Lonchura striata: one gene and its partners. The protein of the gene in region 1 binds, or shares a complex with, the protein of each later gene. Links are inferred from orthologs where the notes say so. Each region holds a gene or a part of one and is shown in the gene's direction. Other genes may lie near its edges.

Region 1 (6,860 bases):
GTCTTGGTTGGCTGCTCATCTTTCAGTGAAACTTAATCATCTTTCTTAGGCAGTTTCATTCTCAGTGCCAGCTTGGCTTTTGAGATGCAGCTCCTGTCTTTCTGAGAATGATTTCTGGATGGGCACGTGTTCCTTTACTAGTGATTTGTTGTATTCTGACTTACACACTTTTTTTCTGATTTTTGGATGGGCACATGTTCCTTTACTAGTGATTTGTTGTGTTCTGACTTACACACTTTTTTTTTTGTCTCTCTTCTGCCTTATTGTCTCATCCTATGTTTCTGTCCATCTAGGAGCATGAGAGTCCCTAGATTATTACTACAGCAGGCTGCATTATGTAAGGCTCCCTTCCAAAAGTGAAACTGTACCCTGAAAGTATTTTTAATTCCCATTATGTCTTTTGGATTACTGGCTAACCCTTGTTTCATTTATTCATTTGTTTATGAAGCTGCTAGTCACTAATTGCCACTGTAGAGCTATTACCTTTTATTTTTCTCTTTCTTGGCTAATACATTCCCTAAAACACCTGTTATCCAGTCACAGTTCCCATTCCACCTTCTTTCTTGCATGCTTGCAGCATCTGGTCTAACAACATGCACCAGTTGGTCAGGTTCCTGTGTTGTGTTGCCCAGGCTCCCATTCCAGTTGCTTGTCCCAGGCCACTCCATTGTCCTGGGACTGGCTAAGCATAGTCTTTGCATGAAATGTCACCTTCCAGATGACATGGGCATTGTTATCTACAGGAAGGAACTGGGGTGCTTTGAAGTAAGGTGACCTCTCAGGGCCAGCACACTGTTACTGTTCTCATCTCCTCTCTGGCAATCCTTTTGTTTCCTTTGTAACCGTTTTTCTGTCCTTTTTGTATTAGTTGTGGTGATTTCCCACCACGTGTCCTTTTGTTCCACTTACTGTAACAGGACAGTTGTGAAACAACTCACACCCTTCTTCTTGCCAAGGAGGTCACACCCCCCGCCCCCAACACTGCAAGACTCATGTATCCTCTTATTTATTTCCTCCATTTTTCTGAAGTTTTCTTCTTTCACCCATTGATCCCTTCCTAAAAAACAAACAACCTGTGACTTTGCACTTCTCAATATGTCCAGATTTCTTCTGCCAGTTCTGAATTGCCTGCCCTGCTCTATTGCTCTACAGAAGGGTCTTCACCTCAATACCACCTGCAACTGTTGGCCTTTCCTGCACACACATTTGGTCTCTGAAAAGTACCCCACCTGTATCACTTTTCCTCAGTTTCCTTCCAGAATATCAACTTCTTACAACTGAAATTGGAGAATCAGCTCTATCATTCCTTTTTGAATGTGTTCATGTTTACCACCTTTTTTTTTTTTAACGTCTCTAAGATAAATGCTGTTCCTAACCAAATTCTGTTGTCTCCACTTTCATCAGTGGAGAAAATACCCCCCAAAATACACAAATTGCTTCTTGATATTGTGCAACTGTGTGTGACGTTCAAGCACTGCTGTTCTTGCAGCAAGGAAATGCCTGACCTGTAAGCCCAGCCATGTGCTGAAGTCAGTGACACTGCATTGAGAGCCACCTAAATTGAATCCTTCAAAGCTGATTCTGTTCAAATCCAGAGCTGCAGCTGTTCCCAGCAGCGAGAGTCACTGCAGATAAAAACGCAGGGCTGGAATTCCCCTGCCAGTTACCAAACAATTCTCAGTGGCTGACCTGGTTGCAGTACTGTTGCAGGCTATCCCAGCAGAGAAGTCATCTGACAGGGACTGCGCTCCTCTGGCACAATGGCACACACGGTGATGCCCATGTGTGGAGCAGTTGCAAAGCTACTGCCTCACAGAAGTCTCCAAAGAGCCCCTAAACCTAATCAAAACAAGCTGTGCCGAGTGTCAAAAGGCATTGTGCTACTGTGGTAAGCACATTTCTCTCTCTCAGAATTTTTCGTAGAGGTGCACAGAGGGAAAGAAAGAGAAAACAATTTCTATTTCTAGTCCTTGTTTTTCCTATGTGAAATGTGTTTGGAGAATTGTTTACCTGGGGTGATTGCTTGATTGGATTCTGTGAGAATTGTTTGAACCTGATGGCCAGTCAAATCCACTTGTGTCTGGACTCTCAAGAGGCGGTCACAAGTTGTGAGTTAGTTAGATATGGTAAGTAGAAAAAGTAAGTATGTAGTTTTAGTATCTCCTTTAAATAGTATATTAATATATTATAGTATACTCATAATAAAAAAAAATCATTCAGTCTTCTGAACTAGAGTCAGATGTTATTTCTTCCCACTGGGTTCACCTACATTTACAATATGCTACTTCAGTAAAATACATATAAAGGGGTTTTTCTTCTTTTCTATGTAAAGATACTGTATTTTACTTCAGGAGTCTAGATCTGGTAATTCAGCAGGATGAGACAGGGAATCCATGTTGGGGCAAGAATCACAGTAGGCAAATCTACCAGCATGGCCAAGGATGCTCCTTGGTTTTAAGATTGTGAAATATTTCTTTAAAGGGATTTATACTTTAACTACATCTGTTCAAACAGCATGAGGCAGAATCAGGTTTTCAGTGAACTGAGAAGAAATTCTAGTTGATGAGTATCCCTGCACTGCCATAAAACACCTCTTCAGGTGTGTCAGTAGAACCCATTGGGGAACTGCATGCTGTGGCTGGCTCCCTAACACGTGCTGTGGAGACAGGAACTTCCTGAACTAGTTTCACCACCGCAAATGGATGTATTAAACCACAGCCTTGTTTAAAGTGATGTAACATTTTCATGTGCAGTACAACCTAGAGGACTGCTGCTCCTGGTTTAAGTAAAAGTTTGGAATGATAAGAGAGCAGCAAGCTCAGCTACTGGAACAAAAAAGGGGCTTGTGAAGTCCCTATACACCCATAAACCAGTGTATTTCACAAGCAGCCGTTTCAGACACAAGAGGCAGATAACAAGGAATAATTATCACCCTTAAGGACAGTGCTTAAGGTATTTGGCTGAAGTTTCCATCTAGAGATGTAACACGTCATTTTACCGCTTCCTCCAAAGGCACATGGTGCAGCTTTGCTGTCAGGCACGGAGCTCGTACAGAAACGTGTGTAACCAACACCGCTTGCGTAAGATTAATTCCACATCATTCTCCTGGCCAGGGACCGGCTTTGGCTTCGTGGCGTCCCCAGTGCTTGATTGCCGTTGCAGAAGAGCAATAGATGCTAAACAGGTACTTTGGCGCTGCGGAAATGTTGAAAGGAATTCTGCTACACGGACTTGAGAGAAGCGACAAGTTCTTCACCTGAAAAGCGATTGCTTTAAGCACGGGAGAAGCTGCAGAGGAAACTTCTCAGGCGGGGCTGAAATTAACCAGCACCGCGCTTGTGAACCCGAGCGGAGGCCGAGGCTCGGCGCGGGCTGCGGGGACTGGGCTCTGTGGAGAGGGGGCAGCGCCCCGCCGCTCACAGCCCCGGCTGCGGCACGAGTTTCAGCAGGTTGGACTCGACGACCTCAGAGATTTTTTCTCGACCTGAGTCTGACTCGATGAGCGCCGCAGGGACGCGGCACTGAGGGCGGCGGGACCGGCAGTCAGCCCAGCCCCGCCCTCAGCCCCGCCCTCAGCCCCGCCCTCAGCCCCGCCCTCAGCCCCGCCCTCAGCCCCGCCCTCAGCCCCGCCCTCAGCCCCGCCCTCAGCCCCGCCCTCAGCCCCGCCCTCAGCCCCGCCCTCAGCCCCGCCCTCAGCCCCGCCCCAGCCCAGCCCCGCCCTCAGCCCCGCCCCAGCCCCGCCCCGCCCTCAGCCCCGCCCTCAGCCCCGCCCTCAGCCCCGCCCTCAGCCCCGCCCTCAGCCCCGCCCTCAGCCCCGCCCCAGCCCCGCCCCGCCCCGCGCGGCCCGGAAGCGCTGGCGCGCGCGCCGGAAGCGCGTCCCCCGCGGCCCGGCCAAGATGGCGGCGGATGCCGCCACCGAGCTGCTGTTCCTGGACACGTTCAAGCACCAGAGCGCGGAGGTAAAAGGGCGTTCGGGTTCCGCCTCGCCTCTCACCTCCCTTCCCCTCCTCTCCCTTCTCCTGGGCTACTGCTGGCGCCCCCCTTGCTCGCGCCGGGGCCTGCCGGGAGTGCGGAAGCCCCGCAGGGGCGGGCCCGGCTGCGGTCGGGCAGCAGCAGTCCTGGGGCAGGCCCCTTCGAGGGGGAGCTGCCGCCTCCTTCCCGCTCGCCTGACCCGAAGCCTTGCTCGAGCCGCTGTCCTGGCAGCCTGAGTGCTGCTGGCAGGGGGCGGAGGGTGGTGGGAAAGCAGCGGGGATTTAGAGGTGGCGAGGAATGTAGGCGAGCGGAGAACAAAGAAGATAAACGTGCTTCGAGAAGTCGATATAATGGAAGAAGTTGACTGGAGGGCTATGCCCTGCCGCTTGTGAGATTTCTGATGCTCTTGTGTAGCTGATGATGAGGAGGGATATTTGTGTGTTTGTGAGGTATTCCCTTAGATTTATTTACTTTACACTAAATGAGCGTTTCAAGCTTTTTTGGCAGTGGTAGATCGTGCAAATATTCCACTTTGAGGCTGTTGGGATCCTGAGCATCTTTGAAACTGCTGATCTTGCAGCAGATTTGTCTGGGGCTGTGCTCGATGAAGAATTCAGGGAGGAGGAATGGGACTGTTAGGGGAAAAGTAACATGAGAAAGACGTTCAAATTCATAGAATAACTGGACTGCATTCGTGAATAGGCATTAAGGAAAGAGCTCATGCTGCAATGAAATGCAGTTGAAAAGTTATTCTGGAGTGTTGTAGCTGTCTGGATCAGCTAGGCCCCAATTGTTTTTTAATTCCACTGTTTAAAACAATGTTAGGTGGGGAGTGCTACCCAGTGCTGTTCCCCTGGATAGAAACAGTAGCCACTCTTAGGCCTCTCCAGGGCCCTATGTTCTTTTGTTGAACATTTTAATCTTTAAAAATAATTTTCTCTCACTTTCATTCTTATCAGTGGCATTGTCCAAACCTGAACCTTAGGTTTTTTATGTGTATATTGAAAGTCTTCTTTATGTTAGGCTAATTCTTTGGCTTTGTGGATTATGAATGTTTTACTAGAGCTTACAGCTCTTGAAAAGTACTGCTGTGTTTTTGAATAAAGTAATTTATTTGGCTTAGCTATACAGTTTAGAGTAGTTATTGAGTAGTTCTGATGGAGGGTCTTTTTTAATGTTTTGTAGGAGAAGTGGGTAGAATTCACTTGCTTTGGTGATGTTGGTGCATGGCTGTCAGGCCATAATCCAGTATCATTTAAAGAGGAATTTGTCTTTATGTGGGTGGTGTTCCTAGGGATGAAGCTCCCCAGAGCAGCCCTTTCTCCAGAAATTTGAGCTTCCTGCATGACTCAGATGTTTTTTAGAGACACAGATGAGCTCCTACAACCCTCACTCCATGTAGGCTGCACTCGCCCTGTTGCTGTTCGTGTGTCTGTGCTTCCTGTCCTAGTGGGATTCCTTTGCTTCCACCATCCAGCTTCTACCACATCAGCCCACAGGCCAAGCTGTGTTGTATTGTCTGCAAAAAAATGTCTGCATCGATTTTTTACAAGACAGTAACACATGCTGAAAACCATATCTTAAAAGCGGTTTTAAAACTCCAGTTTGTCTGTTTCATTGCTTACTAGCTTTCTAAAAATTTTAGTACTTGCTTTCTGCTGGTTTAATTTGCTTTCTGATTGTAGTGAAAAAGATACATTTCGACTGCAAATCAATTTGTTTTTTAATTTTAATTTTTTAGTTGTGTTAATAGACAGGTCGGTGGCTTGGGGTTTTTTTCCTATTAGTCTGGTAATTCAGCTTGCTAATTGGAAATGTGATTCTGAACTTCTCTTAAGAAAGTATTTATATGTTTACAATTAAACATAAATTTTATATGTGTACCATTTTATGCGTATAAATATGATAAAAATGATGGATAAATATAATATGATCTAATGCAGTGAATTTAGTGAGAGAAGATGTCCAGCATTAATTTTTTAGTAGCTGCTATATGAAAAGTCACTGTAAGTTTGATAACTTCCTAGTTTGCTCAAACAGCTTTTTGGAGGGTGTAAGAATTCTTTATACTTGATGTTTTATTATTAAGACTGCAATATGTTCTGTTAGTAGAGAATGCAAGACCATGATGTTGTTTGTGTTTTACGTTTCCTAGAATTTGCTTCCTCTTTGTTTTGTAGCAAAGTACCAATATCGATGTGGTTCGTTTTCCATGCGTGGTTTACATAAATGAAGTCCGAGTCATTCCTCCTGGAGTGAGAGCTCACACAAGTTTGCCTGACAACAGGGCTTATGGGTAAGTGAAAGATTCCAGGTATCAGATTCAAGAAAACCTTCCTCTTACTTTTTTCTTGAGCTTTCATCTCTCAATAGACCTTCCTACATAAAAATGTAAAATGTATTTGGGTGTTTGCCAGACTTGTAATTATTTTGGGGCATTCCTTAAATAGGATAATTTTGTGGTTTTTATCTCCTTGGTAGTCCTGCTTACTCTGATAAGGAACTCATCTGATTTTACTTTCATTCTGTTCCTAGAGAGACATCCCCTCATTCATTTCAACTGGACTTGTTTTTCAACAATGTCAGCAAACCAAGTGCCCCTGTGTTTGATCGGCTGGGAAGGTAAGTTCTTTCAAGATTAGTGTGTGACTTCCTTATCTACCTTTAATTCCTGAAAATTTTTAGAGTGCAGAGAATGTGCAATAGAAAATCCTCTATCTCCCATGACTTTCACGTTTGGTTTGGATTTTGCTAGTTTGTGTTCTTGTTCTTTTCATCTCATCTGTGTGGAAGGACAGAGGTTTATGCTTAAAGTAAGAAAAAATTCTGTTATTTTTAAATTTACAGAGTCCATATATATTAATGCCAAGAATTCTGTAGAAATAAGT
Region 2 (7,666 bases), on another chromosome or scaffold:
GCTGCCGGGGCGGTGCTCGGGGGTGTCCGGTGCCGGGGCGATGCGCCGGGATGCCCGCGGGGACGGCGGGGCGGGGCTTCCAGCCGTGCCCCGCGCCAGGGACGGGATCTCCCTTCCGAGGGTACTGCACTCTGTCGGGAAGTTGCCGGTCCCTCTCCACGGGCCAGCGGTAGTGTAGAGTCCCCACGGGAAAGAGGAGCGACGACTCCGGGAGACCGGACCGTCTCCAGCGATCAGCACTGTCGCGGCTCGGCACTGGCGGGGCAGCGCTCCCGCCGGCTGTCCCTGCCTGGTGACGGTGACCGGGCAGGGAGCAGGAGAACGCCAGTGAGGTTACTCACCCGGGACTCCCCCTTAGTCATCACAGTACTGCGGAGTGCTCGGAGTCCTCTCGGTGTGCACAGCCAGAAGCCGTGAGCAGCTGATCCGAATCAAGTCGGGCCCTTTGTGTACCATGGAAATACAAACGCCTCGGGGGTGGAACCTGTTGAGCTGCACAGCAAATTAAGCTGCTCCTGTGCAGTGAACTGAACAGATTCCCCAAGTGAAGCAAGAAGAACTTGAGGTGGGGCTCTAGTAGCTGGTTGGGAGTTTGGGACACTAATATCCCTCCTCTACAGTAAGAGAGAAAGAGGGATGGGAACCCTATAAATCAAAACATGCAGCTGCTGTCGCAGCACTAGACTGGAAACGTTTCTGTCCTACAGTGGCCATCAGTGTCACTGCCTGCAGCAAGTTTTTTCTTCCCAAGGTTTTCACTTCCTTGGGAAGTGCTTACAGTGAACATCAATGTGTCTGTGACTGGGGATAGACTGGTGGGAGGTAAAAAAGGGTGCTGCATGCATACAAAAAATGTTTTCCAAGGTGGCCCATCTTATAATTAGTTCTAGTTTTAATATCATGAGAGTACATTTCTGTTCAGTTCTGTGATGGCCATACTCAGTTTCCTGTCATACCCAATTACTGTGCCATGCATTGTGTTCTGAGTTGAACACAAGTTGCTAATGACAATAATATTTGCCAGTCCCTTCCTGCTGGAGTAAACAAATTCCATAAAAGCCATAACTCATACCTGCTCCTTAGAGGCAGAATGGTTCCTGGCACTCATCTTGCATGGGAAGGTGTGAGAATGCACAGGTCCTGAGCAGGAATTAGGGGGAGTAGAGTGCTCTGTCCAGGTGATGCTGATATCCACGGATGAATTGTGAGCAGCAGAATGACCAAAATCTGACACTTGGGGTGTCCCTCAGTCATCCCACAGGCTGTCTGCCCTCCTTCCCAGCCACACACGGTGCTGCTGCACTTTGGAGCACGTATGGAGCGACTGCTGCCAAGGGAAGGAGCAATGACCGATTTGTGCAGCCCTTCCCACGGGCATGAACTTGGATCTGTCCTCTCAGCTGCAGCTGCACTTGTGGGAGTTGTGTTATATCTAAGAGTCTTCCATCTTTCCATCTGAAACTGCATCAGAAGCTTGTGGAAATGAAAGGAGAAAGGTGCCATGGGGACATAGCATGGGATCACATTTCTTTTTCTCTTGGAAGTAATTTCAACTGAAGCAGCCTGGTAATCAGTGATACCCTGTTACTGAAGTTAGCACACGGGGAGTCTCAGAGGATTATGTACAGAGCTGGTTTTCTGTCAGCACTGGGTTTGACACCCATGTTCTTACAAGTTGCTTCCCAAAGCAACAAGACAATTTAAATGTACATTTTTGGATGGGCGTGGTTTTGTGTCCATATGACCCAGTGCTCACTCAGGACAATGTACAGAGGCCCCTAGACACTTCCATGGATCTCATTTCTCAGATTGTCATAAACCCACCAAAAGTACCAGGGCATGTTGTTGATTCACATGTGCTCTGAATGACGTTTTGAACCATGGGTGAAGTTCAGAAAAGTTCTGTTATCCAAACCCCCGATTCCATTTCCTTATAAATGTCCTCTAAGAGGTGCCATGAGATTACTGCTCTGGCTGATAACTCCATCCATCTTCCCTTCCAGTGTGTGTCACATTCCTGGGAAGGTTTTACCAGAGTCTAAAGGACAATGACGTTGAATTCACACCTTCCAGTATTGAAAAGGAGCTCTTGAAATCCTGCAAAGAAGCAAAGGGCAAAGAGAATCGCCTGGTAAGTAGGGGGAAGTCAGTAATATTTCCCTCCTGCAAGTGAGGGAAAACTGAGTTTGTATCATGTGGCTTCCCAGGGGCTGTTTTTGCTGGCTCTGTGGCCACCGTAGGTCCTGTATTTTTTATTAAAGGACTTGAGGAGTTCAATCTCTATCTTAAAAAAAAGGGAAAAAACCACCCTGTCAACAGTGGTTGGACTGGCTGGCATCTCATTGTTGCTGAAGCACTGGATATTACAAAGCTTTTGTTTGCTGTAGGGTTTCTGTGTCCCTTAAATGGTATTTGGGGTGCTATGTAATGTGTTAAAATATTTATATTCTTTGGCTGCTTAGCTGAAAACTAAATAAAGGAAAACCAAATTGCCCTAACTAAAACCAGAGGCAATTTGTGAATGAAGAGGCCCAAGGAAAAGGCCTGCACTCTCCTCAGAGATCTACAAGAGATACCATCTGACATGCAGAGGGGGAATGCTTCAGAGAGGCTCTTTGAATAAAAACTTTTATCCTAATCCTGTTCAATTTTTATAAAGTTAAGAAACAAGATCAGCCTCAGCAGCTGTAATATCATTGCAATGGAAAACACCTGCTCAGTATTCTGGGCTCAGGCTCCTTTTGCCCAGCTCTAGCAGTCCCCTGGGGAGGTTCTCTAACAGCAAACATCGAGCTACAAAAACCAGATGAGGACAGGAACAGAAGACTGCTTTTAGAAGCCTTTTTTCCATACATCCCCACTTCACTCTTTTCTTTCCTCTAGTGCTATTACATTGGCGCCACAAGTGATGCAGCCACCAAAATCATTAACGAGGTATCAAAGCCCATGAGTCACCACATCCCTGTGGAAAAGATCTGTGAGAAGCTAAAGAAGAAAGACAGTCAGATCTGTGAACTAAAATACGGTGAGTTGCCTGCACTCATGATGCTTGCCCATGATTTGCTGGGGTGTGGATGACTGGGGGTGAAGCAACATCCTAAAACATACTCAGTCCTGAGTTCTGTAGCCTAGTTAGGTTGCACAACCTGTGTTGCTCTCCATGAACATCCTAGAGAGTTCTATGGAGATGCTTAGGTAAGACTGTTGACTGCTAACCCTTCTTGGCTTCTGCAGGGACTCTGATCAGCCCTGGAATAACTAACTCCCAGGTGGAACAGCACTAAACACTGCTCACACTGCTGTTTGGGAGGGTGTGTGGTACAGCCTGTGCTGGCAGCAGGCAGGGGTGTCACTGTGGCAGGGCTCAGGCCCTTGCCTGAGCTCTGCAGTCCCAGCTGCTCTCCTGTTCCCATCAGCAGGGTGATAAATAATGCTTTCTCACCTCCTCTGGTGTCTCCTCAGAGCATTCCACTCTCTGTTTCTCATCACCTTCCTTGAACTCTCATGTTCGTAGATGACTCCTCTTCCTGAAAAGACTAATACAAAAAACAGGCATAGAAATGCCTCGTTCTGCTTTCCCTTATAGCTGCCCTTACACCCCCTGGAGACGCCCCTTAGATTGTGGGTCTTTGTACTTTTCATTTCTCCTACTAAGGTCGTGTTGCTTCCTAAAAAGCTTTTTGTTGTTGTCACTTTCTTACCTTTCCCTTGAAATCACTCTGCTACATTTCTTTTATCCAGTGGTAAAGAAGTGTTGCTGCTCGTGTAATAAAGGGGCTTTCCGGGCTATTCTGGAACTCCTGCATCTAAACTGCAACTGAGCTTTCTGTCTTCTAATAATTTTTAGCATTACGAGCCATATCTGCTGCCCAAACCTTAGACGTTCCTTCCACCCCTGGCACCTCTCTCCCGGTTGGGTTTTGGCTTCCTCGCCCAGCTGGCATGTCTGAGTGCCACTCTGCTCTCCCCGCAGACAAGCAGATCGACCTGAGCACCGCCGACCTGCGCAAGCTGCGCGTCAAGGAGCTGCGGCGGATCCTGGATGACTGGGGCGAGGTGTGCAAGGGCTGTGTCGAGAAGTACGACTTCATCCGCAGGATCCACGAACTGATGCCCAAGTACGCGCCGAGGGCGGCCGGCGCCCGGACAGACCTCTGAGGGCCGAGACCGGGCCGATCCTGGGGCTCTGCGGGGTGACACCGGGCCTGTGAGGGGACTCTGAGGGGCGACCTTGAGGCTCTGAGGGGCGACGCCGGCCCCGCGCTTTGTACGGGACTTGCATTAAAGTTGGCCGGAGTGTACCGGGCGGAGCCGTGCCTGTGCCGTGATTGCGGACGCCCCTCCCCGCACCCCGCACCCGCCGGGCCCCGGCGCTCCCGCCCCCTCCTCGCTTTATCCGCGGGCCGGCCCCGCGCGCCCCCTCAGCCCGCCGGGGGGCGGGGCTTCGCCGCCCGCCCTGATTGGCCGCCCGGCCGTCGCGCGCGGGCGGCGGGAAGCGCCGCGTGACGTCAGGGCCCCGTGACGCCGGCTTGTGGCGCGGCGCGCGCGGGGCGATGACGTAGGGCCCGCGCGGCGCGGCGGCCGGAGCCGCCTTCGTTCCCTTTTGTCCAAGATGGCGGCGGCCGCCGGAGGCGCCTCCTGAGCCGCGGGCCCGGCGCGATGAAGCGCGGCAGCGACCGCGACTCGAGCCCGCCGGGGGCCGCGGGCGGACGCGCGGCCGCCGCCGCCAAGCGGCCCCGCGATCGCGACCGCGAGAGCAGCAGCCGGCGCGGCCCGCACCGCAGCTCGGGCGCCTCCCGCAGCAGCCGGGACAAGTCCACGCCCGGCGGCGGCGGCGGAGGCGGCGGCGGCACCACCACCGGCAGCGGCGGCGGCAGCGGAGGCGGCTCCAGCTCCCGCAGCCACCGCGGCGATGAGCGCGCCGGCGGCGGCGGCGACTCGAACCACCGCCCGGCGGGGAGCGGCTCGGCCTCGGGCGCCCGCGGCGGCAGCCAGGCCGCCCCCTCGTCCTCCTCCTCCTCCTCCTCCCGGGCGCTCGGCGTGCCCAAGGCCAAGGCGCTGCCGGGCGCCGTGGTAGCCCCGTCGCTGCTGCTGGCCGGGCCGCCGCCGGGCGCCGCGCCCTCGCTGCTGCTGGCGCCGCTCGGGGGCTCGGCCGGGCTGGCCGGGGAGCCGCCCGGCTCCTGCGAGTACAAGACGCTGCTGGTGAGCGGGCTGAGCGCGGCCTTGCCCGACCAGCTGCTGGAGGACGGGCTGTTCCGCCTCTTCCAGCGCTTCGCGGGCGGGGGCGCCGGGGACATCAGTGTCAAGCTCTCCCACACGCCCGAGCTCGGCCGCGTCGCCTACGTGAACTTCCGACACCCCGGGGACGCCCGCGACGCCCGCCGGCATGCCCGGGCCCGGCAGCTGCTCCTCTACGACCGGCCGCTCAAGGTGGAGCCCGTGTACCTGCGCGGGGGCCGGCGCAGCCGCACGCCGCCCCCCGCGCCCTCCCCGGAGCCGCTGGGGTATCTGCCGCCGCTGCACAGCGCCTACCAATACAAGCAGCGCTCGCTGTCGCCGGTCACCAGCCCCTTGCTGCGGGAGCCGCGGCCCCGCCACGCCGCCGCTGCCGCCTTCGCGCTGGAAGCAGCCGCCATCGGGCTCTCCCGGGAGCGGGAGCGGGCCCTGGATTACTACGGGCTGTACGACGAGCGCGGCCGCCCGTACAGTTACCCCATCGTGGCCGAGGAAGACCTGATGCCAGAGGATGACCAGAGAGCCACTCGCAACCTCTTCATCGGCAACCTGGACCACAACGTGTCGGAGGTGGAGCTGAGGCGCGCTTTCGAGAAGTATGGCATCATCGAGGAGGTGGTGATCAAGCGCCCCGCACGTGGCCAGGGCGGTGCCTACGCCTTCCTCAAGTTCCAGAACTTAGACATGGCTCACCGGGCCAAGGTGGCTATGTCGGGCCGCGTTGTGGGCAGGAACCCCATCAAAATTGGCTACGGAAAAGCCAACCCCACCACCCGGCTGTGGGTGGGGGGCCTCGGCCCTAGCACTTCCCTGGCCGCCCTGGCCAGGGAGTTCGACCGCTTTGGCAGCATCAGGACTATTGACTACGTGAAGGGCGACAGCTTCGCTTACATCCAGTACGAGAGCCTGGACGCTGCCCAGGCCGCCTGCGCGCAGATGAGGGGCTTTCCCTTGGGCGGACCGGAGAGGAGGCTCCGAGTGGATTTTGCCAAAGCAGAAGAGACGAGATACCCACAGCAGTACCAGCCCGCGCCGCTCCCCGTGCACTACGAGCTGCTGGCTGACGGCTACAGCCGGCACCGGAGCCTGGAGCAAGACTTGAGGGTGCGGGATAGGACTCCTCCGCACCTCCTGTACTCGGACAGAGACAGGAGCTTTGTGGAGGCAGACTGGGCCAGCCCTGCCAAAAACGCCGAACGCAGGAACAACCTGGAGAGCTACAGCCGCTCCGTGCGCAGCCGGAGCGGGGAGCGCTGGGGCAGCGACGGCGACCGCAGCGTGCCCAAACCGTGGGAAGAGAGGCGGAGACGCCGGAGTCTTTCCAGTGACCGCGGGAGGACTACTCACTCGCCTTACGAGGACAGAAGCAGGACAAAGGCCAGTGGGCCAGCTCTAGACCGCAGCCCTGACAGGGCTCGCAAGGAGAATCACACTACAGAACCCGGAGCCGAGAAAGAGCAGAGCAACTCCCTCCAGAACAATCGTCACGCGGCCGAGGAGAAACCCCATCGCGAGCCAGCCGATGCTCCCCAGCCCAAAAAAAGGGACAGCGAACGCAATCATCGAACTGGTGAATCGGAATCAAAAACTCACGAGGAGCCAAAATCTGAGACCAAAAAGCTAAAGAATTTATCAGAATACGCTCAGACACTGCAACTTGCTTGGAATGGGCTTCTTGTGCTAAAAAACAGCTGCTTCCCCACCTCTATGCACATCCTGGAGGGAGACGTGGGTGTCATCAACGGACTCCTCAAAGACCATTCGTCCGGCGGGAAGTTGACGCAGCTCAAAATCGCTCAGAGGCTTCGGCTGGACCAGCCCAAGCTGGATGAAGTCACCCGGCGCATCAAACAAGGCAGCCCCAACGGCTACGCCGTGCTCCTGGCCACCCAGTCCGCCCCGGCAGGGGCCGAGGGGACCTTCCCTGTGGTAGAGCCTGGCTTGCAGCGACGGCTTCTCAGGAATCTGGTCTCCTACTTGAAACAGAAGCAGGCTGCTGGGGTTATCAGTCTGCCCGTGGGAGGGGCAAAGGGCAGGGACAGCACAGGCATGCTTTACGCGTTCCCTCCTTGCGAGTTCTCTCAGCAGTACCTCCAGTCAGCACTAAGGACATTGGGGAAGTTAGAAGAAGAACATATGGTGATAGTTATAGTCAAAGACACTGCCTAGCCCACACTGTCTTTTCAAATTCCATGTTTTCTTTGTGTGTCACACAGCCCAGTTGTTTTTAAGGCTGATCATTTTGGTTGAGGCTCAAAATACCTTCACCAAAGTGGTAAGATTTTTAGTTTCTAATTAATTTTAATACCTATAATATCTATTAAAATTTTAAATAGAGCCCATTTTATTCGTTTTTAATATGTGACACTGTCCGCTGTTGTTCTGTATTTTTATTTTTTAACTGTATGAAAAGTTGTCAGTAAAGCCTTGT
Region 3 (7,360 bases), on another chromosome or scaffold:
TTTTAAAAGCCATTTATGAAAATAGTGCTCATTATTAATAAAGCTATAGGACAAAAATGCACCCACCTTCTTTGGATAAAACCATAAGTAGGATAAGAAAGGCAGCACAGAACTGGCTGCAGCTACACGTTGTGGTTTCAGCTGAAGAGATTGGCATTGCCATCTTCCCAGCACTGCCAGCCCAGCCCTCCTCGAGGCAGCAGCTAATGATGCAATTATTCAATCTGTATAATCTGTTCCAAGAAATCTTAACACTTTTTCTATTTTAATTATTGTAATTATTACAACTTCTACTTAAATAAAGCAAGGGCTTGAGAAAAACATATGTATTTTTTTACCCAGGGTGGAGCTACATGTGACAGCAGCTGCCATTTTTTGAGGACATGTCCCATCTTGCCAGGTGTCTTTTTCACATAACAGTATATTTTCTTCATCACCACGACAACGCACTTCACTCCAGAAAACAGGAATAAGGCCTAATGCAGAAAAGGGTATGTGTTTTGCTGTACCTTTTTCCCTGTAAAAATAATCAGGGTAGGGTATCAGAGTGGGAGGAAGGGAAGTGGAAACATTTTCTCATATATAAATCTCAGAGGAGGAGAGAAAGGGCTTTCTTCAGTGGTGTAAATTCATCACATTTTCATACAGTTCAGCATTGTCTTCTGCACAAAGAAAACTAACAGATGTGACCCAGTTCTCACTGTTTTGTTGTGGGATATTTTAGTACAATGACTGTTGCTGCAGAGCCAGCTACATTCCTGCTCTCCCAGTTCTTAACTACAAAAATCAACACAGAGTCCACAGTCCATAGGTGAATCTACAGTACCAGCCCACTGCAGTTACAGTTCCAGGAGGGGTAATGCCACCAGATCTTTCTCCCTTATTCTGTCCTTTACTCCATGAAGACATAGCATGCTCAGCCCATAAATGCCTTGTATTGTGACTGTGATGATGGGGTTGTGCAACCACCTCACACACCATTAGATCAGGCCCCCATCCATTTTTCTCTATTCAGCCATTCCCATCCACCCAGAACATTTTATAAACAGCTCTCTTTTCCTTCTCATGCTGAATCTACAGCAACACTTATAGAGCCACCTTCTATTCCTTGCAAAGCACTGAAGTTAAAACAAAGCCCAAGTAGGGTGATATCAAAGGAACAGATAGATGGAGCACCTGAAAAGCACTAGTAATACCTCATAAGTTCACCTGGTGGTACAGAGATCCAAATTTCTGCAAAACATTCAAGATAGTTCAAACTTTTAGCCACTGTTTGCTTGGGGATTTTTTTGGCCTGGGTTCAGCTTTGAGCTATTTCTACTGAAAAGACAAAACCATTCACCTGTATTGCTGAACTATATTTGCTAACAGCGGTCTCGTTCAGCTGAAATGTTCAGGGTATGGAAAGCAGATAGGACTTACATGAAACAGAGAAGGAACTACTGCACGTAGACAGCTGAAATCATAAACAAAATCACAGCCTCCAGATGGCTGAACTTTTATTGCATCTAATCCTTATATTTTTATAAGTTGGCATGGTGCGTCCAGATTAGTATTGAACATTATAAACCAGCTTAGATTTAGTTCTGGCTAGCAGTCTTAAAAAGTGGATTAATCATTAGGAATGTCATGGTGCAAGTCTGCTATAAAAGCCTCTTACTGCTTGTAGCAAGCAAAACCAATGCTTTGGTATGTGAGTGAAAGAAATATTAGAAAGGCAATAAAGGCAGCCAAATTATGCTAAAGGGTGCTGTCGATTAACTCCATTCTGGCAGCAGTGGGAAGTAGTGGTCAGCAAGGACAGTACAGGGATTTTCAACCTGTCCAGTATGGCTGTAGCTCTAAAGTGTTGTCATATGCCAAAAACGTAGGATGAGTTCCAGGTGTTATTTGGCATACTACTATGGGTGATTACTAGGATAACCCCTTGCCCCTGAGAATTAGGAGCCCATGTAGAGTCTAATCCTGGCCACATTTACATTGTTATAGATTCAGTAACCTCACTGGAGGTGTTAATTGACTTGGTTAATCTCAGATGTGTGAGATCAGGACTGGACCATGTAATTCTGTACATGTGGACATCTTCCATTTGTCCAGTAGAGGAGTTTGTCGAAGCTTGCTGCCCTGTTCACACATTTCACTTTGAAAACAAAGCATTTGCATAGTCTGCTCCTATCCAGAGCCTATCTTCAGCTTTCTGAGGAAATACTCGTTTCCTCTTTGAAGGGTAATGCAGATGAAGCCAGCAAAGTATTCTGAGCAGAACAACTTCAGCATTCAAACACTTTCAAACAGAAAAAGCAATCATCAAACAGAAAAAGCAATCATCAAACACAAAAAGCTCTCAGGATTTACAAAGTAGATTGTCCTTTATACTGAAAAATCATGAAAATTATTTGACTGGTTTTTACTCAAACTGAAACTTACCCAAGTGCAAGCTGTCGACATACAACTGTCGCGTCATTATTGTCCCAATGGTTCCCACAGATTGTTCCCCAGATTCCATTCAAATAAACCTCCACTGTACCTTCAAACTCATTCTTGCCTCCCCGGAGTCTCACTGACCCTAGTTACCAAAAATTAAAAATAAAACAATTACACCTCCAAGATACTCTATTGCTCAGTTCATGCATCCCACACAAAAGACTCTGAACCTCATTTTCCCTTAGTTCTTGTTTCATGGATACTGAGCTTTTCCCAAGAAACATTCTGGCACACCTAACATTCTCATACAGTGATGCACAAATTAAGAGAACCCTTTTTTAACATGAGGAAAGCATTATTCTCCTCATACTGCAACTGCATCATATTTTTGATCCTTCTGATGCTACAACTTAAAGATCTTACAAGGCATTTATAGACACATAATTATTGAAATGTTATTTCCTCTACCCAAATGAGCAAAATATATATATGTCTGTATATATATATATATGTATGCATGTGTATATTTGTATAAAATATGCTATACTTTTATCTTTCACAGAATTCCATTGACCTTAAGGGAATCAGAAAATAACCACATGAACTGCATAGCTTTTGCTCTGGCCTATGTTACATTATGCATGTCACAGATGACAGCAGTTTATTTTAGCCAAAGAATGCATTGGTTCATACTTTTCTCAGACAAAAAACCACTGCATGTAGTTTTATTAATTCATGAGAGGTCTTTACCAAACTCTCAGACAAAGCAAGCTCAAAAGCATAACAAATGGTCTAAAATAAGTGGGGAAGAAAAAAGTGTTTCTTAAGAGCTACAGAGCACAGAAATCTAAGAAAATTAGCAGATCTTGCAGTTTTGTATTCCAGTAGTTTACTTGAGATGTCTGATGCATCTTCTGTTGAAGTGGCACTGGTAAAGGTGGGGAAAAGCTGGTCATAGGGATAACTACACAGAAACAGGAAAAACCATGACAGAGCAGTAACTCAACAAGAAACATTTCTGTTAAATTATCAAACATAGCCCAGCTGTATGAATTCGTATTGCCTGAAATCCCAGTTAATCCATCTGCCTCTGTTCTGTGATCTACTTAGAAGCTACACCATCATCCAGTTTGCAGGGGTTTTGCAATGGGATGAAGATAGTCAGTGCTTGTGCCTACATTTCATTGTGTCTGTGTTCATCTTTGTGTAAATAATAATAACAATAACAATAATAATGATAATAATAATAGGTAGATCCACTTTTTCTTCTCAGCTTCTGTCCTGGGTTTAGTTCAGTGTATTTTATAAAACCACAAAACCAAGAAACTGCCAAATAACTCAAGGAATTAATTAACCTCATGTTTAGCTTGGCATGATCCTTTTTGCCTCCTATTTACTTTCTCAGCAGTAACTTACTGTGCACTAAATTACAAACAACATTTATTTGACTCATGTTACAGAGTGAGCTATCATTCCTGAGAGAGGATTATTACTGTGTCAAATATAACTATAGTGTAGACATGTTGCACATCATTTGTCTGTCTTTAAAATTTTTCTCTTTGTGTTTTTCTGTATGGGTCACAGACAGAGTTTGGAATTCTGTTTATTTCTGTTCTTCACCAGACTTTTGTATAGACTATTATTTTCACTTGAAACATCAACTGCACTCATAGCAAAGTGATTCCTGACATATCAGAAAGCAAGTTTGAAGATGTCATCTCCAAAAATAAGTTTATTTTAGTGCATGATTACTTACAGTGCTGCATGACACCTACTGAAATCAATACAGTGCTTCCTGAGTACACATTACACAATGTTTCTATTCACATATTTGAATAAGGGAGTACTTGAAGAATACAATTTTTCTTCTAAAGTCTCCATGGCATAATATGGCTCACTCCTCTTTCTGTATTTACAGATTTCCCAATGACAGTGGTGGAAGAACTTAGTCGTGTACACACAGCAAAACACACAAGAGGATTGCTAAAGGTAATTTTGTAACCAATTTTAAATAGTCTTGATTTTTCACCTAGTTAAGTTAATCTAGAAAGAATCTAGAAAGAAATAGAAAGAAAGACCATTTTTACATGTAGCTAATATCAAGCCTGCCATTTAGTGGAGGTAACCAAATATAATGTATGTGCACTTTGAAGTATGTATCAACCTCTGTCATATGACTTAAGTTATATAGCAAACATATCAAAGGGTACTAATGAGAAAATTATTTCTCTGTTGTTTACTCAAAATGTTGCGGTATTCAGACACCTGGTAGTTATATTACCAGTTCATGTTACAGTAGTGATACCTCATAAAACACAACCTCAACATCAAGACTTTCATTACAGTGGCTTAGTTTTTCTTTCTGGTATATAAAAACTCTTTCTTCATGATGAAACACAGCTCTGTGTTTCCTGTGTAAATTGATCCTAGGGAATTGCAGGATAACAGCAGGATCTGCCATCATGTGTGTTTATGCTGTATAACCAAGTATCTGTTTATATATTAATATTTTAATTGCAAGATAGTGTTTACATTGTAAAATTACCAGGAAACACTTTTTCACTTCATAGGAAGCAAGAAACATAGTATTTAACATGATTGAAAGGATACAGGTTAATTCTTATTTTCACTGGTTAAGTCTACTGCTGTTCCAATGTAAGGCCTCAAGCACCCAAACACGTGTCTCAGGGGCTTCCTCTGTGCTGCCCCTGGAGCACAACAACTCTGCCGAGGAGGGCCTGCATTCCTTCTTACCAAACATGTCCAGCTTAAGTGTATGCACTGGAGGCTCTAGGTTCCTGGAGTCAGAGATACAGTAGCATCTCAAATTTTAAAACTATAATTTTTCAGCACTTTTAGTTGCTGAAGAAAACTAAACCTGTTGGGAGTAGAGCTAATGCAGTAGTATCTACTCTTTCTACTCTCCACCAGTTCAATATGGTCTCAGACCTCTGCTTAAAGTGCTTATCAAACCTACTCTCCCTCAACAAAAGGGAAGAGCAGCACCAGGATCCTGCCCGTGGCTCTGCCCTCCTCAGCACTGGTTAGGAAGAGGGAGGATGAGGAGAGGTGATGTGACCCCACAGTAGTTAGAAACTAGGGCACAGGACACAGGGCAGGCCTATGAGACAGCTCTAGACACATACTGTGGTCTTAGAACAGGCTTAATTCAGCCCTTTATTAAAAAATACAATCTGCTGGCTTGACAGAAACTCCTTCACTTGTAAAAATTAGTCTAAATACTCAGAAAGTATATATACATTTATGTAATTTTGTTTTAGCTGAGGTTACTGATGGTCAGTTCCTGTTGTTTACATAATGTCTGGTAATTTTAGTTGTCCTGGTATCTGCCCAAGTCAGTCTTTCCTATCTGCTATCACTGTTGAAAGGAGATTAAGTTATACTTGCAAATGCAAGGAAGTAAGGGTATCCAGTGGGTGCTGCTGAGACTTGCTCCAGAACACCTGCCATATAGGCTGAAGATGAGACACTCAGGAAAACAGGGGGAGGAAAACCACCCAGCCAACTTTTAATTAACTCAAAAAAGCAGAAGAGCTTCAAAGGAATTGCACTGTTGTGCTTGGCCTCTTTTCCTATGCATTCTCATGTACAGAGTTGCTGCGTAACTTCAAACCCTCTTTAATTTTTTGCATTTCACTGGGAATGAGCATCATTACTGTGTGGCTGAATTGCAGATAGGATGGGAATCACTTCCACTTCTGCTGTACATGTTAGTGCTGCAGCAGTAGTGTTTATGGTGTTGGATAAAGGCATGCCACAGTTTCTTGGTAAGCACCTGTCCAACAGTTTGCAATTTTGCTGTAAATGTAGGCTGGGAAAGTAGAAATCAGAAGTAAAGTTTGCCTGTGCCTTTCACCCTGGTGCAGTGTGCTCTGAAATGGCAATTTTAAAGCAAAGCAAAAGAAGTCACTTCAATTTCAGAAATATGTTAAAACAACAAATATTTGTATTTCTGCCCTAATGTTCAAGGTGTTACAATGTGGGATAGTGCTACAGAAAGGCCCTGCACTGACAATTCATGTCTGTTGTCTTGGAGTAAATTAGGTCAGTCCAAATTGACATCAAGTGTGAGGATTTCCCATGCTCTGTATCCCATGGGATCACACTGTTACTCGTAGTATTTAGAATACATGGGGATGATCCATAATACATATAAAATGGTCTATCCCAGTTTCAGAATAAAACTAGTTCACTGATTTGTATGAGGTACTTGTAAAAAGCTGCATGTAGCACAGGTAAAACTTAACATTGGTTCAAATGAATGGAAACTTCCAGGATCAGGCCTGACTAAAATCAAATAAATGAAACCTGTCAACTTCAGCAAAATTATGCATGGTGCTCACTGTGATCAATGAACACTGTTGTCTATCACTTTCCTGAGCACTGCTCTTAGTCTAAAATTACAATTATTTTCTCCAGGCATCTTAACCTTGAAAAAGGGTGCCTTCAGTAGAACCACTTTTTAAGAACTATCTTGAGGTTCACTAACAGTATTGCATACTCAAGGATCCTTACATTAGAATTTTCATAAATATTGTATACACTGAGTGTGTAATGTGCTGTGTTGGCTCCTCTGCAGTGCTGAGATCCATCATGTCAGCAATCAATGGTTTAAGGCTCTGACAAACAAAACTGAAACTGAGCAATGTAACAGGCTCTGAAGGACTGCAGTTGTCTTATGTGAGCAGAGCAGGAGAAGATGAGGGGTCTCACCCTGTGCAGCTCTGGTAAGAATGGTTCCAGAGGAGCTGCTTCTTAGAAGGAAAATATGGACATTCATGTTTCAGTTCTAATCACAAGCTATTAAAAAAAACCAAAGTCCCAAAAGTCATTCCATCAAGTGCTTGTACTATAGTAAAACAGGTAGGGAGAATAATCTAGTTTTTAGATTATGAGCCTGAGGCTTGATTCTTCT
Region 4 (7,507 bases), on another chromosome or scaffold:
TAAACAACAGACTGTTCTAAGTTGTGGAAGTTATTTTAAGGTACTTTAGAGTAAAAAAATAAATTTCAATTATATGGACAACATGTAACTCATCATGTTTCTTAATTTATTTCTACCAAGATTTCACTCATGCAGGAGTCCAAAGAACCCATAGAGTTCACAGAAGCCAGCCAGCCTGATGATGAACTTGATGTTCAGGAAGAGGTATGCATTTTAGAATGTGTCTATCCCTCTGCCTGTAGCCTTCAGTCTTGCTGTGAGAGTATGGCCCTCAACAGGTACCTTCTCCATAAATACATACCCTCTCTGGATACTGCATGTCAGTGCTAAGTGGAGGAAGTCAGATTTTTCTTGAGATATTTTGAGATAGTAGTAGATGATATCTGCTTAAGTATCTCCTCATCTCTCTTGCTTTAGGATTACTTTTGCCTTACACTGGCTTATATTTAAACACAAGCTGGGGGCCTAAAAAGAAGACTTTGTAAGACTTGAGGCACTAGAGTGGAAAATTATGATCAATCTTTCATTCTTCCTTTTAAGACAACAGACAGCTTCTTGCACAATCTGCACAGTTTACAGATGTTCTTTGTACTTTCACTGAGTTTTTAATTTACACAAACATGTAATTTTCCCAGATGCTGCATACTGAGAACTAACCACAGCCTGTTTCTCTCCACCTTTCAAAACCCATTTTTCTAGGCCATGCGCCGACTTGCTTCCTGAAGGACTGCTGGTACCATCCTGCCTGTGAGCACACGGCAATATCCACACACCAGTACTACCCAGACCAGCATTTTCTGCTATTAAACCAATCTTTGCACTTGAAGAAAACCCTGATTGTTTGTCTGAATGATACAGATCTCTACAACTCTCCAAATTTTAGCTAGCATTATCCCAGAAATATTCTGGACCTTGATTCTGCAAGCACTTTCTGCTATGATATATATTAATAAAAAAGAAAATCAGAAGACTATTGTGAAAGATGTACTCAGTTTTGGGACTGAAAAGCTGCTCTGTGGTCTGCCCAGGAGAGTGGAAGAGACCAAAATCTTTGGATGGCAAGCTTTTTGTTCAATATTTCTACAAAGTCTAGTGAAAGGGCTGGAGTTCTTGCTGGCCAAGGCTTTGAATTCTAGAACATTAGTGTGAGAATATGTGCTGACAAGCCTTGAAAAATGTACCATGATCATTTTTTTCAAGCAATTCCTTAAATTGCTGCAGGTAGTTAGATCACTGAAAGAGGTGACAGGTGAAACTGTCACATGAACAGGAAACAGCACTGAACTACAGTAATACTTTAAATAGGAAAAGTTTCTAAAGACCCTTGGATATGGGTTCATTTGTTCTGTATTAGTCCCATTGTAGCAAGTCTTGCACTACTGTTAATGATTGTCCCTTAAATGAAGGACAGACAGAAGATTATTTTGGCTAGGTTACATAATCTTCATCAAGAGGCGGATCATGACATAAATTAAGGAAAACCTTAGTCCCTGAGTACTTAATGAAATCTGTGAAACAGGCTGATACTGAGTGTAAGCAAGAAAGTCAGAATGTGACCTAGTATTGATATTTGGGGTTCTTTTAATGGAATATAGATGTATTTTTTGTTTAATGAATAGTTATATTTTTATAGAGATTTTTTCTTTTAATAGTCTACATTAAACTGCTGCTGTTCTTTTACATATGAAAGTTCATAATGCACAAGTGCAATAATTTACAAAAGATTTGAATAGCAAAACTTTAATCCTAAACTAATGTTCTTAGTTTTCATGAAGAAGAAATGTATTTTGATGGAAAATGGACTGCCACCTTGATTTATTTAGCATTGCATTATTTTTAAAATGGGAAAAACCTCTGCATTGTGAGGAAATTGTTAAAAACTGAAGTGTAAGAAATGTCCAGGTATAAAATGCCTTTAAGTTTAACAATGGTGAAAATTACCTTCAGTATATTTAATTCTTCTTACTTGATTACATGAGAGAAATTTTCTCACATACTGCACAGATTTCTGCTGCAGGTAGCAATGGAAAAGCTAAACACTAAATAAATTATCCAAGTTAACTCTGTTAACATCAGTGAAAAAAAATCCTATAAACTTCAGCCAATGGCACCAAATTAGAATCCCTATTCTCTTGTTACAGCACAGACTTCAGCCTTCACAACAGTGAAGTTTCTCAGTACAGACACTTGAGCTTAGGTGATGTTGGTGCTCCAGTCCAAGCCAGCAAACAGCAGGATTGTATTCACAATGGACATGGGCCTTTTGTCCGTGGGATGGGCATCTCCACCATCTGAGAATGGAGCAAGAGTTCAAGAGGCAAATCAGACCACTCTGCACCTGTTCAGATGGAGCCATTAATTTCTATTGGCACTAATGCTTCAGCCCAGCCTGTGATTTGACAATTCATGCTTTTAACCCCACCTGTCCTCCTTCTGTCTCCTTGCCAGCCTGTCACAGGAGGTTGGCACTTCTGGCCTGAAGACCCCATCAGGCTGTGGCCCCAACTCCTATTAACCTGACTGCTGGAACATTTGCCAGTGCACAAGGCCAGTAACATGTTTTTAGAAGCTGTACTGCTTCTCTGGAACAGATACACATTTTAAGTAAAAAGTAAAATAATCTACCTGGTAAGTGAGCTTTCAGCTAATTGTTGCACGTCTACAGAAAAGATGGTAAAAAATTGTAGCAGTGATTTTTTTTTTTTTCAAGGCAACATCTGCAATGTGAAGTTTGAGTACAGATTCCTACTTAACAGAGATGTCATGACATTATTTTTTTAAATTTCTCTAGTTCTTGTCTGGACAGGTATTTAAAAAGCAATTAAATACTCAACAGTCTTCCAGTTCTTTTCCAAATATGACATCTGATCTGGGATTAATTGTGATAAAATATGATAAAATGCACTTATTCTTGGCCTGTGTATTTCTTCCAGGCATGGTTGGTCTTAATTTAACAGGCACAAAATATTAAACTTTTCTCTGAAAAACAGCATTTCTCTCAAAGCCTACAGTGGCATAGAAGAGTAAGAGGTAGTATGAAGAATGCATTCAAATGCCTTTCTCATTGGTTATGTGCTTAATTTTCTCTGTATCCCTCAAAATTAAGGATACCAAAATAATGGATTTTGCAATGAAGCTATAATTCTCTACAGTTTTGTACTAATTAATGTATCTTTAAGTAGTGTAACTGGATGTGCTTATCTTTTTCCAGCAGCATGAAGAAGTGGTATTTTTGTATGCATTTTGAGTATTACTGTTCTGTCTTTGCATGTCAGATATCAAATTTGGAGATGTATTTTTTTTTTACACTTTTAAAAAGCTACATTTGAAAATTATACCCATAAACTAGAAAATAAAGTTGTGCATACTGAAAACGTGCTCCTTGTGTCCTTGGGGGTTTCTTGTTTAGTTTCGGGTTTTTTAAGTCTTTTCTTTGTGAATTCCTATTATGGGAAGATAAAGCATATTATGAAGGAATCAGTGTCCCGCTTACCTTGGTCTCTGTTTTGAGTATCAACAAACACAAAAGGGAAAACCTGTTCCCTCTGCCTTGTGGGGGTAAGACAAGAAATGTGAGACTTTAATGGTAGCTTTTAAATGTTACGCCTATAAAGATAATGAGAGATACTGTCTGTAGGAGCACAAGATCCCAATCCGGGAGGCTTTTATTGAGACAATTACCAATCTGAAGTGCATGGAGTAGAGTTACCCGTACTTTAGCGTTGTGGTAGGACTGCTCGGGGCCACTTTCTACTTATAACTTATGACTTTGTTGTATTTTTATTTCTTTCCTTTCTCCAGTGCTATTCTTCAGCATCGCACCGAGTTTACAGGAATTAAAAAGTGCTCAATGTAACATTAAGCCCACTCCTGAGCTAGTGAGCTCTGTTGTTGTGAAGCTGCTGAGTGCTCTGGAGATTCAGTGCTCCATCACTTGTACAGCGTGTCAGCAATCTGCCATCTCCATGCTAAACTGGAGGCTGACCAATCTGCCATTTCCATGCTAGAACCTAAGGCTGACCAATTTGCCATTTCCATGCTGGAACTTAAGGCTGACCAATCTGCCATTTCCATGCTAGAACCTAAGGCTGACCAATCTGCCATTTCCATGCTAGAACCTAAGGCTGACCAATCTGCCATTTCCATGCTATAATTTAAGGCTGACCAATCTGCCATTTCCATGCTAGAACCTAAGGCTGACCAATCTGCCATTTCTATGCTATAATTTAAGGCTCACCAATCTGCCATTTCCATGCTGAACTTAATGCTGACACCAGCAGCCCAGAGCGCGCTGCGGCGCCGCATCTTCCCAGCGTGTGTGGAGCCCGCGCCGCTGAGGCGGCTGGACGGGGCCTGCACGGCTCCGAACCGAGAGACCGCTCGTGTTTTCACTCCGTCCTTCCCCCAAAGCCCCGGGGGCCGCCTCCCAGCCCCAAGCCGCCGCGGCTCCGCCGGCCCGGAGCGCTGGCGGGGCTCGGGCAGGCGGCCCCGCCGCTTCCGGCCGCGCCCTTCCGCTCCCACAGCGCCGCGCGCCGCATCATGGACCACAATGGTGAGCAGGGGGAGGCCGGGGGCCCGTCCGTGCCCGCCCCGCCGGGCCCGCGCCCGCCGCCGCTCCGGGAGCGGCCCAGCGGGGCCGGGGGGCGCGGGGCGGCGCAGGGGCGGCGGCGCCGGGCCCGGCCCGGCCCCGGAGCGCCGGCGGGGCTCGGGCGCGCCGCGGGGCCTGCTCCTGCTCCTGCTCCTGCTCCTGCCCGGGCAGGCGCCGCGGCCCCGCTGCCGCCTTGGGCCCGGCGCTGCCCGGCGCTGCCCCGCCGGGCGGAGCGGCCGCGGGACCCCCGGGCCGGGGGAGCGGCGGGCGCCGGGCGGGCCGGAGCGGCCGGGCCCCGCCGGCTGCGGCCCGCGACTCCCGGAGGCGGGGCACGGACGCTCCTTTGCCCGCGGCGGTCCCGGCGTGCGGCCCACAGTGTGTCTCCTGGTTCCGCGGTCGTGGCCCGAGAGGAAGCTTCCTCCCGTGCCTAAATTCGGTGTGGTGGGTTAAATGTCGTTCGCCGGTGAGCGCGCTGGCGCAGCTGTGATCCTTCGCGAGTTAATGCGCTGGCGTAGTGCAGTGAAGAAATGAATGGACGTGCGCTTTGTGCTAGGGTGGTTTTGGAGGATTTTTTTCCTTTCCCTTACAAAAGATTGCTTTATGACTATCTGTATAAAGTATTTGAGTTTTATTTGTGAATTTTAATAAAGCTTGAAATGCAAAAGTAAAACTAAGTTGAAGGTGACATTTCACTAGGTTGCATCACTTCTAATTAGAGCTTTTTTAAGTAGTCTTAACAAGTCTGGTATGTTTGTTGTAGTTTTTTCTGGACATAATCCCACAAGCTATGCTCATGCAGACTGGAATTTATTATCTTTCTGTAAAGCATGAGTGACTAGTAAACTTGGTAGTTTGGATAGTTAAGCAGCTAGCTCATGTAAGTATTCCTGGTACAAAAGGCTATAAGGAGGAAAAGCGACTATGTATTGGCAGTTCAATGGACTAACTAATAAACAAGTGTTTGATTTTTAAAATTCGTTTTAGTTGTCCCTGTTTGCAAATGGACTGAGTTGCAGCAGAGATCTTTGTGGTTTATGGTGCTGTGGTTTTGTGTATTCTGGTAGAAAACAATTTCCCAACACATGGAAAACAAGCAGCTTTACCTCTGATGCCTTGGTCAAGCACTCCCTGCAGAAGCCTGATGATATAGTTGAGTGTTTGCAGGTTCATCTGGACAGCTGAAAGAAATAGCAAATGAAGTAAAAAAAAGCTTTATTGCTTTTGCCTTTAGTGTATTTCCTTTTAGAGTGAAACTGTCAACCATAGTGCTAAGAGGAGTTTGATCAATCTAAGGAAACTGAGGGCTTTTGGTTTGGAGGTACAGGACTGCCAGGGCACAGTCCCAGTTTGAAACAGATACATTTCCTGGCTTTGGTGGTAGCTGCTGAAAAACTGAGAGCAATCCCATTTTTTCTTGTTTTTCCTTCTACTTGTTGCATTGTTATGATGCCACTTGTTGTGGTGGTTATAGGCTTTGAGAGACAGCAGTTGGTGAGGCACTGTGCAGAATTGCACTAATGGACCCTAATTTCAGTGTCCTGCACTGCAATCCTTGGGGCCTCTGCAGTCATTCCAGGGCTGGAGTGCCCTACCCTGTGGAACTGCAGGGCTGTAAGTGCTCGGGGCTCACCCCTTCCAGACTGAGTGTGCCCTGCTTTGAAACACCTGTGGCATTTTCAGATAAAATTCCAGTGAGCTGGGAAGATTTGTGAAAGATGTAACTTCATATTTTTTCATGGATGAGATGCTGTGGGGTGGTTTCAGATAAACTCACTGGAGTTTGAGGGAGTTATGCCTCCTCATTTGTGTTGCTTGTTGCATTGCCTGCTCTATGTTATCTCTTGGAGCCTGTACCTGCTTATGCATGTGTCAGGCTATTTCTTGTTTTGTTCACCCTGGTACTTAGATGTAAATCTGATTAAGGAGAATTTTGTATATAGCTGGGAGCAGTAATTTTCAGTTTAGGAAGGATGTAACTATGTATTCCTAAGTACCAGTATTTTTGTGATACTTTTTTATAAATTTCTAAGTAATATGTCAAGATGATGAGTTAATAGAGAAACTAGTTTCCTTCCTACTTTAGTAAACAATACACATAAATTGTAAAAATTATCTTTTCACATAAGAAATTCTGTGTAGTCAAGGTTCTACAAAGAATTGACTCTCCAGTGCTCTTCACGCGGTGAGAAGAGCTGTAAGGTTAATGTTTCTGTTGTGGAGAAATGTGTGACTAGCTAGATTATTTTAATAGCTTTATTTTTAAACTAGATTTCCTAACTTCCTTGCTGTTCCAAATACAGTTTTGTGACGTGGCTTCTTGTATTGTCTGTGAGGGATACCTATTTTCTAGTGATAAAATTTTAATATGTTGTAGGAGTCTTAAGCAAGCTTTAAAAATTAAATGTTTTCTTAAAACATTTCTGTTAATATTTAACCTCTTTAGAGACTATTAAATAAATTTTTATAATGTATACTTTTTACAATTTTCTTTCACAGACAATGATTTGCAAGGAACAAATAGTTCAGGATCTTTGGGTGGTCTTGATGTCCGTAGAAGAATCCCTATAAAGCTTATTTCAAAACAGACCAATAAAACCAAACCTGCACCTCGAACTCCAAGAAATATGAACAGGATGCCTTCGAAGACACAAGCTGGTGATGAAGGTAAATTCATATAAATTCCCTGTAGTAGGGAAATGTATTATTCTACAGGATTTTTCGAGACTTTACTCAGAGACTTAAGAGTCCAGGGTTCTGTCTAAATGCAAAACAAGTTTCAAATCTCCAAGTGCTACTTCATGTAGGGCTTCAGTAGTGCCCATTTCCAAAACAGGCTGTCTTACTGCTTTGGTTCTACATTTCTGTAGAATGGACTCAGCAGATTGGAGGTGCTGTGGCATTTTTTGATGATTTCAATAA

The links.
Region 2: VIRMA (region 1) and RBM15B share a complex: the UniProt entries of both Homo sapiens proteins name them as parts of the WMM complex. The link is inferred for Lonchura striata from reciprocal best matches to the Homo sapiens genes VIRMA and RBM15B.
Region 3: VIRMA (region 1) and METTL14 share a complex: the UniProt entries of both Homo sapiens proteins name them as parts of the WMM complex. The link is inferred for Lonchura striata from reciprocal best matches to the Homo sapiens genes VIRMA and METTL14.
Region 4: VIRMA (region 1) and CBLL1 share a complex: the UniProt entries of both Homo sapiens proteins name them as parts of the WMM complex. The link is inferred for Lonchura striata from reciprocal best matches to the Homo sapiens genes VIRMA and CBLL1.

Annotation. Positions count from the first base shown.
Region 1 is NC_134603.1:24,171,594-24,178,453, forward strand, and holds the start of VIRMA (protein virilizer homolog), read left to right. Parts: upstream 1-3,844; 5' UTR 3,845-3,896; coding exon 3,897-3,959; intron 3,960-6,152; coding exon 6,153-6,268; intron 6,269-6,507; coding exon 6,508-6,594; intron 6,595-6,860. UniProt on the Homo sapiens protein: Associated component of the WMM complex, a complex that mediates N6-methyladenosine (m6A) methylation of RNAs, a modification that plays a role in the efficiency of mRNA splicing and RNA processing.
Region 2 is NC_134614.1:7,695,630-7,703,295, reverse strand, and holds the start of RBM15B (putative RNA-binding protein 15B), read left to right. Parts: upstream 1-4,659; coding exon 4,660-7,404; 3' UTR 7,405-7,666. Other genes in the region: MANF (mesencephalic astrocyte-derived neurotrophic factor), read left to right, coding at 2,004-2,131, 2,884-3,025, 3,974-4,158. UniProt on the Homo sapiens protein: RNA-binding protein that acts as a key regulator of N6-methyladenosine (m6A) methylation of RNAs, thereby regulating different processes, such as alternative splicing of mRNAs and X chromosome inactivation mediated by Xist RNA.
Region 3 is NC_134606.1:70,409,232-70,416,591, reverse strand, and holds the start of METTL14 (N(6)-adenosine-methyltransferase non-catalytic subunit METTL14), read left to right. Parts: upstream 1-4,347; 5' UTR 4,348-4,413; intron 4,414-7,360. Other genes in the region: PRSS12 (neurotrypsin), read right to left, coding at 339-517, 2,428-2,566. UniProt on the Homo sapiens protein: The METTL3-METTL14 heterodimer forms a N6-methyltransferase complex that methylates adenosine residues at the N(6) position of some mRNAs and regulates the circadian clock, differentiation of embryonic stem cells and cortical neurogenesis.
Region 4 is NC_134607.1:59,135,400-59,142,906, reverse strand, and holds the start of CBLL1 (E3 ubiquitin-protein ligase Hakai), read left to right. Parts: upstream 1-4,507; 5' UTR 4,508-4,539; coding exon 4,540-4,552; intron 4,553-4,921; exon of another isoform or gene 4,922-5,029; intron 5,030-7,084; coding exon 7,085-7,252; intron 7,253-7,507. Other genes in the region: SLC26A4 (pendrin), read left to right, coding at 121-204, 700-723. UniProt on the Homo sapiens protein: E3 ubiquitin-protein ligase that mediates ubiquitination of several tyrosine-phosphorylated Src substrates, including CDH1, CTTN and DOK1. Targets CDH1 for endocytosis and degradation.